2 linked regions of the Drosophila melanogaster genome follow. The protein of the gene in region 2 interacts with the protein of the main gene of each other region in a pairwise test. Each region holds a gene or a part of one and is shown on either strand. Other genes may lie near its edges. The genes, in order: cact and cactin.

What was found.
Region 1: the proteins of cactin (region 2) and cact interact in binary tests that used the Drosophila melanogaster proteins (3 or more experiments, as listed by UniProt).

What each region holds. Positions count from the first base shown.
Region 1 is NT_033779.5:16,323,044-16,328,244, forward strand, and holds the start of cact (cactus), read right to left. Parts: upstream 3,165-5,201; 5' UTR 2,978-3,164; intron 2,583-2,977; exon of another isoform or gene 2,451-2,582; intron 2,378-2,450; exon of another isoform or gene 2,012-2,377; 5' UTR 1,985-2,011; coding exon 1,290-1,984; intron 475-1,289; coding exon 297-474; intron 128-296; coding exon 1-127. Other genes in the region: CG4278 (uncharacterized protein), read left to right, coding at 4,114-4,992; mRpL4 (mitochondrial ribosomal protein L4), read right to left, coding at 5,087-5,201. UniProt on the Drosophila melanogaster protein: Involved in the formation of the dorsoventral pattern. It inhibits nuclear translocation of the dorsal morphogen in the dorsal region of the embryo. Acts as a negative regulator of the NF-kappa-B (rel) signaling pathway.
Region 2 is NC_004354.4:20,422,227-20,426,902, reverse strand, and holds cactin (cactin), read right to left. Parts: upstream 2,835-4,676; 5' UTR 2,750-2,834; coding exon 587-2,749; 3' UTR 501-586; downstream 1-500. Other genes in the region: CG15456 (uncharacterized protein), read left to right, coding at 1-257; Pp4-19C (protein phosphatase 19C), read left to right, coding at 4,051-4,676. UniProt on the Drosophila melanogaster protein: Plays a role in pre-mRNA splicing by facilitating excision of a subset of introns. Plays a role during early embryonic development. Involved in the dorsal-ventral embryonic patterning.

The sequences.
Region 1 (5,201 bases), on a different chromosome or scaffold from region 2:
ATTGTCGGTGGGCCTCATGGATTTCCGTGGCGCCGAACTTCTCTGTCAAGGCACGGACGCACTGTTTCTCTCCGGCGATGCAGGAAAGATGCAGAGCTGTGTTTCCATGACGATCGCGCACCGTGGGCTATTCAAATGAGTAATGGGAATCTTTTGTTACAAATATAAATACTTAAATTAGCTTTTGTTAGAAAATCAAGATGATATGACATTACATTCGTCAATAGGGGATTAAGCTAGATTTTACAAATATGCAAATATCTAAATCTTCTTATTCGATCTTTGTTGAATATTACCTCAGCTCCGGCGAGTAAAAGTATCCTCATGATGTTCGGCTGGGCAGTAAGAGCGGCCAGATGAAGGGGTGTCTGGGCCACATCGTTCTGGATGTTGAGCAGGCACGGATGAGGAGCCATGCGAATCAGGGCGGCCACCACGTCCACTGATCCCGAAATACAGGCCAGGTGCAAAGGTCTGAAATGAGAGAGAGAGAGCAAAAAAAACAACATGAATTTGTGGGTTTCTTTTACCTGGCGATCGAACACCCGCACTTTCTTTCCTTCCTGTACACTTGTCGCCGTTCATGTGGCGGCGTAAAAACCCAAGTAAGTTAAGTAGAGGTAAAGTAATGTGAAGAAAGAAGAGGTGCCCCGAAAAACCTGTTCCCGTACCTGCCCACATACCAGGAAAACCCCAAAGCCTGACTAAAACACATGTGTCAGTCGCGTTTCTCGCCTCAGACAATCGTCTTTGAGTGATTCACGAAACTCTCCCCTTAGCTCGCTTGGTGGTCATCAGTGCAACGCGGCGTTGTCTTTGTTATTTTGGGAAATTTTAGGATTCTCATCGGAAATACGGCACGTATAAGTTCATAGAAATTCGGAAATGATTCAAAGACTGTGCTTATAAATCTTTAATCGTGAATTGTCAATGAGTATGTTAAATTGATTTTTAAGAGCATGAAGACCTAAATTCTAATAAAGATTTTTTTTTGGCGATTGTGACAGTCTAAATATAATCAATCGTTTCCAATTTCAAAAAATACCGTCCAATTGTATAAAATATTTAAAATATAAAGTTCTTATGATTGCTAGTCTAAGAATAAGCATGGGAAAGTTTTTAAAGTGACCTAGAGATAAGGCGCTAAAATGTTTAAATCATACTTGGGAATTTCCCCACATTAAAAATACACATTCGAAGTTATCTATAAATGTGGTTTGCACATATATAAATAATTTGAAAGTCTAGAATAAAGTGACATTTCCTGAGATTCTATAATGTTTACTTACGTGTCGCCGTCGTCGTTTTGTTGATAGAACTGCTCCCAGGCGTTCATGATATTAATGCTGCTGGGCGGAGCGGATGATGTTGCTCCCGATCCCGAAGGATTCGCGTTCGCCGTGCTGGCTGTGGAGGATTGAACCTTGCTGCGACCGGTGATTTGGGTGCTGCTGCTCTGGCCGAGATTGTTAAGCTGTTCGCCGCGACTGACCAAATGGCTTTCGACGGTCCATTGTGGGATGCCTGTGTCCGCGCTGTGTTTGAGTCGCATTGAATCGGCGGTGGCAGTGGTGGTGTCCTGGTGCTCCTCCTCTTTCTCCTGCTCCTCCTGATCCTCTTCTTCGTCGATAATACCGGAATCGAGGACAACGGGCTGTTCCTTTTGGGGTGCCGACTCCTGCTGATCCTTATCCTGTTCCTCGCTATCGGGGACTATCTCCTCGCTGAAGATCTGCGAGGATTGCGGGCCGGAGATGAAGCCCGAATCACTGGTTTCGTTTGGCACGGCAAATTCCTTTTGCTTGTTAATGGCGGCCGTTTGATCTTGTGTTTTGCCGCCAATTTTACCGCTAGTGGCTAGTGAGGACGAGGGGTTAGCCGCGTTTGAGGGGGCGCGCTGCTCAACACTGGCAGCGCTGCAGCTGCAGTCACTTGTTGCTGTTGCCTTTGTTGCTGCCTCCGCTGCTTTTGTTGGGCTCGGCATTTTCGTGCTTTTCCTCTCTCAGTTGGGCTAAAATATATGTATATATGTTATATATATACTCCTGTCGTTTTGAACTTTGCTTTTGAGCCCAGTCTCTCAAACACACACACATACACACGCACAGTAAGCGCTCACCTCGGTGGTGCGAGTGAAACAAACATATAGGCTCCAGCGAACAAGTGAAAACGCAATAATTTTTGTAGATTAAAGGCAATTTATGGACTTATGTACAAGTGTAGCCGCAGAAAAATAAAAATTACGGTTTCACACTGGTTGAAAATTTTAGATTTTTCCATTTGCCAATGTCTTATTTGCCTCTTCACGGTTGTTTCACCCGCACACACCCACAATCACACTGAGGTAGATTTTTTATCTCCCTTTTCACACAGCTTCCTTTTCGCTTTTTATTTTCTGCACATGTTCTGGGTTTAAACCCCAGCACTATTTTCTATGGATTTCTCACTACCTTGCTGGTTAATTGTCTTGCGAAGCTGTCTTTAAAACGCGTATTTATGGTTTAAATGTTTGTAATCTGCAATTCGCATAGTACCCGGACGCACGTCTGCTTTCTTTCACGTTTCGATAGCGAATGAAATTGAGGGAGCGCGCTGATATGTATATATTTATATGGCAGTCTATACTATAAAGCCCCGTTTGCACTAAGAGTTATCACGAAATGAAGAGTCTCGATTTTAAATTTTCTTTACTTAGAAAACTGTTAATTGAAAAAAATCTATTTTTTCATATTTGCCCAAAAAAAATAAAATTCTAGACTTGAAAAGACCGAAGTGAAAACGTTTGCCTTAATATATCGACGATGGAGTGTGTAATCGGGGCTTAAATCAGTTTTACATGTGTGCGAGGGAGACCATAGGGTTGCCAGATAGTAGGGAGAGCGCCAAGTTAAAATCTCCCAACAACAAAATGAGCAGCTAAATGGTCAGCTGCAACAAAAGCAACCACAGCAGCGATGCGTTTATTTATACTTCTTACTCTCTGATTGTGTGATTGTTTAGTTCCTCGAGCGAAGCCACTTGATGTTGATGCTCGGCGTCCTACGGTTGAAATGCGTATGACGGCGAGGCGGACAAATATCTGGGAAATCACCCGCTGACCGAGAACGGAAATGAAATGCAGGATTCTTTCTTCGGTTTTTCACAGGTCAGCTTCGATTGAAACCTCGACCAATTCTGAATTTCATGGGATATTCTGAGCGACCGATTTGTCATACACTCTCCTTCTGGGATTTTTTAACACTCAATCACATTTTATCGCCAATTCATGAAATATTATATATACGATTATTTTGGTTTTTACAAGGTTGTATTGATTAAAAAATTATCTGAATCCAAGAAATTTAGAGGGGCTTTACAAGATTATCAGATTCTTACCATAAAACCTGTGTTTACGGTCACAAGTAGTTTCGAAAGTTTTTGCTCGCTTTTTTAATTTAAAATTTAAAATTCCGCCTCTCGTAGTTGTAAAGTTATTTATTATAACAAATAGGTTATTAAAAAATCGGACTTGTTTCCTAAAATTTTGATTAAATTGCTGGGAATTTGTAAATTACTCTTCAGTTTTAGGGGTTTGGTCATTTCCTTGTCGGGTTTTGCTTTTTGCTTTTGTATGACTTAATTAAATTATTCTTTAAAATTTAAATTCTTCGGCTTCCGATTGAATTTCTTGAATTATTATTTATCAGGCGTTCGTTTTTCTATTAAAAACAAGTGTTTGGTGCCAATCTGATAAATTTATTAAGGTATATAAACTTTTTAAATATTTTGTTAATTTCTAATTATTTGTTTGCTATAACATAAACTTTTATCGTTTTATTAAAACTGTTTTGCTATTCTCGTTATTATAAAATCCAAATATTCATTAAATGTTTTTCTAACAAAATTACGCAACAAAAATGTGACCTGCTAATAAAATTATAGTAGTGTTTTTTAATGTTTATTAATATTAACCAATTACTTTATCGCCCAATTTAAAAATTGCGGGTGATAACAGATGATTTTAAGAGCAGGTAAAACAACAAAAATTAAGTTGGCAGCACTTACCGGCCAATAAGTCAATTGCACAAAATCTTAAACGCAGGACCAGAAATATTTTGCAAAGGACGTCAAGGAATGCTGAGAAGGATGAACACTTTTAGTGGTCAAAAGCTGGCGGCTGTGGTCAAGGAGCTGGAGAACTTTGCTCCGACTTCTTGGGCAGAGAAGTGGGACAATGTGGGACTCCTGATCGAACCGCACCGCGAAAAACAAATCAAGAAAATACTATTAACTAACGATTTAACCGAGCCCGTAGTGAAAGAAGCGCTAGAGAAGGAGGCGGAGCTCATAATCAGCTATCATCCGCCAATTTTCAAGCCCCTGACCAGGATTACGCAGTCACATTGGAAGGAGCGCGTGGTGGCAGCATGCTTGGCCAACGATATAGCCTTGTACTCGCCCCACACGGCGTGGGATAAGAAGAGTGGTGGCGTCAACGACTGGCTATCTAAGGCAGTGAATATCATCAGCATCCGCCCTCTGGAACCGGAGTTGGGTGCTCCTCCGGGTACCGGATCCGGTAGATATATAGAAACCAAAATGGAGCTTTCCCAGGTGGTGGAGTCTCTGCAAAAGCGCATTAGAAACAGCGTGCACGTTGCTCTAGCTGTGGGCCACACCCCCAAGACACTCATCCAATCCGTCGGCATTTGTGCCGGCTCTGGAGCATCTCTGCTGAAGGGTATCCAAGCGGATCTTATCATTACCGGCGAAATGTCCCATCACGAAGTTCTGGAGTTTACTCACAACAATACCACCGTTCTTCTCTGCAATCATAGTAATTCAGAAAGGGGTTTTCTCCATGAGTTTTGCCCTATATTGGCCAAATCTTTAAATGAAGAATGCCTGGTATTTGTATCTGAAGTGGACAAGGATCCTCTGGTCACCGTGGCTAGCGATATAAACAAAGAACTAAGCGCATTTGTTGACGTCTACAAGAGCACATCAAAATAACTTTGATCTTATAAGCATTTTTTGTTTAACAATGCATTTTCTGGCGCATCCATAAAGGTTACAAATAAACTAAAGGATTTAACTTTCTTAACTTCTAGACTTGATCCAGCTTAAACTTGCCGCCCTTGCTGGCGGCGTCGTTTCGATTAAGTTGGTAGAGCAGGCGCTGCTCCAGATGTTTCACTGCAGCCACTGTCAGCACCAAAGTA
Region 2 (4,676 bases):
TCTGCAACTTTAGCGGGCAGTGCCACCTGCTGCGCGAGTTCCTGCTGGCCTCGTCGCCCGACTTGGACATATCCTGTCGCACGGGACGGCGGGGATCCTTCGAGGTGTCCATCGACGGTCAGCTAGTGCACTCGAAGCTTTCCTGCCTGGCATTTCCCCAGCACGCGAGTGTCCTGGCCCAAGTGCAGAAGGCGGAGCGTGGAGAGCCCGTGGAGAAAGTCCTGGAGCAGCCCATCAAGGACTGCGTCGTGATGTGATCTCCTACTTTCACGCCTAGACTGTTTAAACACGATAGCTTCACGCTTACACCAACATTTGTGGAACCCATTTGAAATCCTGTGATATATGGTATATACATATATAATAATAAATATAACATTATAATGCTCTCCTTATTTGCAAGATGGATGAATTGAAAAATGGGTAAAGGTTAAACAACAGTTTTCAGTTTAAGTGGAGTCAACTAAACAATCGCAATAAATGGAACGAGTTTGCTAGTTGTTCTGGGCTTACACTTTATTGGAAAATAACATAGGACTGCACAAAAGGATGGTTTGGGTAATCTAGGCCAGACGGTGACAATCCTTCACCGCCTGTAGCGATAGCGCTTGAAGTGGAACCACAGCTGGAAGATGTTGTTGTGGAACTGGCAGCGGAAGCCCCGCTTGTAGCTAAACTCCCACTCCCGGTTGACGATCTTGAAGGCGATGTCCTCGTACGGTGGTCCTGTGTGGAAACGCAGCACCGCAAAGTCCCCGTTGTCCGCGCAGGGAGTGAGGAAGTACTGCGGCGTCTGCGATTTGTCCATAAGGTCCGGATAGAATATGTTGAACTTGTATCCCTGCACGATCTTGGGCGGGGGATTGTCCATGTCGTAGTGCGTCTGGTTGTACTTGTTCCACTCGAAGCCGGTGTGCACGCGATTGAAGTAGCGCGGCTTTCGTGGTCGGTACTTATCGGTGGCCAGCTGCGGCACTGCATCCAGGGTGGTCTCCACACTGAACTCGGCCTCGTCACCCTGCATTCCCTGCTTCGCCTCGTTGCGCATTCGCAGTTCCTGCGGGGTCAGTTGATTGTTATCCACTCGTTCTGGATGAAGGATTAGCAGACGCTGTCTCTGTGTTCGCCGCTCGTCGTCCTCCTCCTCGTAGAGAAGTCCTTCTGCCTCCGGTTCGTCGACGTCTTCGTTTTGCGCTCGTCTGCCGGTGAAGTCCTCTTCGCGTATATAGCGCGGGCTGTAGTTCCCTGCCTGGTAAAGACGCACTGTTTTACGCAGCTCATTCAGGGGATCCTCCTCGTCTTCGGGTGAGCCCTCCTCAACCTCCGGGTCCTCTGCGTCCTGGGTTTCCATCTCCTCTTCCTTGACTTGTGGGGCCACCTTCTCTTGCAACGTCTCATTATCGTTTTCTCGCTTGAGCAGCGACAGCTTCTCGCGCAATAAGGCTTGATGGCGATCTCGCAGTCGAGCTCTGGCCATGTGTGCCTTGAGTTGCGAGAGCAGGCTTTCCCAGTAGCTAATGTCGACGCCATCCGCTCGCCCACTGATCTTGGCCTCGATGCGGTGCCGCATCTCCTCCAGCTGCTGAGCATTCTTCCCCCTAAAAATATCGGCCACATCCTTTACCACCGCCTGGTGGATGCCATCCCGGCGTTGATTGAGCGAACTATTCTCCGCCTCCAGTTTCTGTTGGCGCTGCAGTTCATCCTGCACAATGGTGATCATATCGTTCCAGAAATCGATGTGCTTGCCCTGCTCCAGCTCTTCGTATACCTTAATGTCGACCAGCAGGTCCTCCAGTTCTTCCACGGGCAGGCCGTTTAGCAGCACATAGGGCTCGTGCATCTGCATCTCGAGGCACTCTTCGAGCGGCTCATTCCCAGCGGCCACATATTGGGCGAGAAGATCGATGGGCTTGGCACGTCCATCTCGGATCCGGATTTCACTGCGCAAGCGTGCCTGCTCTAAGTGAAACTGATCTTCCTGTCGCTGCCACTCGCGGAACTGCACCGCCTCCTTGGCGCGCTGCTGCATCATAAGATCATCCTCGCGCACCTGCCGCTCCAGCTCCCTCTCCTGACGCCGTTTCTTGACCTTCTCCAGCTCCCTGCGATTTTCCAACTGCTTTTGCAGAGACAGTACCTCTACGGTTTTGGTGGAGAGATTTGATAGTCCCTCTACCTCCAGCTTTTTGCCCCAGTGGAAGGTGGAGGTGAGATTGGAGTCCCCGAACGGGTTGTCTTCGTTGGAGTACGTCTGGTACTCGTTGTCCCAGCCCATTCGTTCGCGACGCCGCTGCTCCTTGGCCTGCTTTTCGCGCAGGCGACGGGCGCGCTTCTCCTCGGGCGTTTCATGGGCCTTCAGCTCCTCCTTTTTACGCTGACGATCCTTCTGCTCGACGAGGCGACGGGCTTCCAGCGTCTGGAGAAGCTTCATCGGGCTTTTTACCAGCGGCGAACGAGGGGCACCGGGCACCGAGCTGGACGTCGAACTCGACGGGGATGAGCTGGAGGAAGAGGACCGGCGTCTCCGGCTTTTGTGCTCCCGCTTCTTGTCCCTGCTTTTGTCCTTTTCCCTTTCCCTGCGCTGGTCACGTTCCTTGTCTCTGTGATCTCTGTGGTCACGATCCTTTTCCCGCTCGCGTTCACGATCCCGATCCCTGTTCCTGCTGCTCCTCGGATCCGGACTGCGATGATCCCGCCTCTCCCGACTGCGGCTGCGATGCCGGTGCTTGGATTTCTCCTTGGGCATCTTTTTTAATGAGTTTTTCGGGATAAAACTTGTGAAATAAAATATAAACAATGCTAGCGTTGCCAGATGGAGAAAACCAACCCAGATAGCCACTAATAATTGCAAAAGTGCTATCGATATAAGCATTATAACATTAACACATCTCCCTCTTGCCGATAAGTCGATTTATTTTTCCAAGGGTTAGTTTTTACAAACTTTAAATTTTAAAATTTCGGCTGCAGCGTATTATAAATACACAAAAATAAATAATTTATCGATGGAATCCTTGGTGCAGTGTAAAAGGCTTTTTAGGGTCTTCGTGGTAATGCCCACTATCGAAACTGAAGACTCGATGTGTCATTGCAAGTGCCATTACTCAATATATCGATACAAACGCAAGTAGCCAATCCAGCTCTTCGCAGAAACCCGGTTGGCAAAAACGTTTATGTGCATTTTTTGTATTCAATCGCCAACACGAGAGCCGAGCTACCAGCAAAAGGATTGTCCAGATAGCCCGCCACTGCGCTGAGTAAGTAGTGATTCTGGAAAAGTGTCGGGGAAGACAGGAAAAACACGGCAGACGGTGAAAATCGCGCGCGGCAAAAAGGCCAGCGACAAGCCAGACGCACACACACACGCGAGCATCCGCACAAAGCCGACGCACACAGACGCATGCAGGCGAACTCAAAAACCGAAACACAAACAAAAGGATGGTTATTAGTCGACTATTAGTTACCTTACTTCCAGTTCAGCAGCAACTGAAAATCTGAACTAATCTCTAATCCAGAAATTCTGGATTTAAAACAAATCCAACCCTATCCACTGTCAAATACACGTTTCGTATTTGAAAGAAATGTGTATGCATTCACTTAAAACACAGCCATCTAAAACAGCTAAAAGAAGTTATATCGAGAATATAGCCTCTTTTCTCGTTGGTTGGCTTTTCATTGCGAAATAGCCTCATGGACTATCTCAACAAGTGGAATAGCTGGGAACGCGAATGTGTGTGTTTATATTATTTGCCCAATCCGTAAATATAGTTGAATCGTCTTGATTCTTAGATGTGGGGGATGCAGCTATACAGATGCACTTTATGGCCTCTAAAACGCTAGACTTGCTGTGCACGACTAGAGTAGTACCCTATCCTATCACTCAAGCGACCAAAAATTTATAGTATTTCTCTTATGCAACCTTGTGGCTACCTGAAAACCACCCGCGCCAGTTTGGTGAACGACTAACAACGCTGTCCCCGCCCTGTCAACGCCTGCAGTCCGATTCACCGCTTCCCCGTCGCCTCGGCTGCCGCCATCCTCCGGGTGAAGATGTCCGACTACAGCGACCTGGACCGACAGATCGAGCAACTGAAGCGCTGCGAGATCATCAAGGAGAACGAGGTGAAGGCCCTGTGCGCCAAAGCCCGCGAGATCCTGGTGGAGGAGGGCAACGTGCAGCGTGTGGACTCGCCAGTGACCGTGTGCGGCGACATCCACGGTCAGTTCTACGACCTGAAGGAGCTGTTCAAGGTTGGCGGCGATGTGCCCGAGAAGAACTACCTGTTTATGGGCGATTTCGTGGACCGCGGCTACTATAGTGTGGAGACGTTTCTGCTGCTGTTGGCGCTGAAGGTGCGCTATCCGGACCGAATCACGCTGATCCGGGGCAACCATGAGTCGCGCCAAATCACACAGGTCTACGGCTTTTACGATGAGTGCCTGCGCAAGTACGGATCGACGGCCGTGTGGCGGTACTGCACGGAGATCTTTGACTACCTCAGCCTTTCGGCGATCATCGACGGCAAAATATTCTGCGTGCACGGCGGGCTGTCGCCGTCCATCCAGTACCTCGACCAGATTCGCAGCATCGACCGGAAGCAGGAGGTGCCGCACGACGGGCCCATGTGCGACCTGCTTTGGAGCGATCCGGAGGACCAGACTGGCTGGGGCGTGTC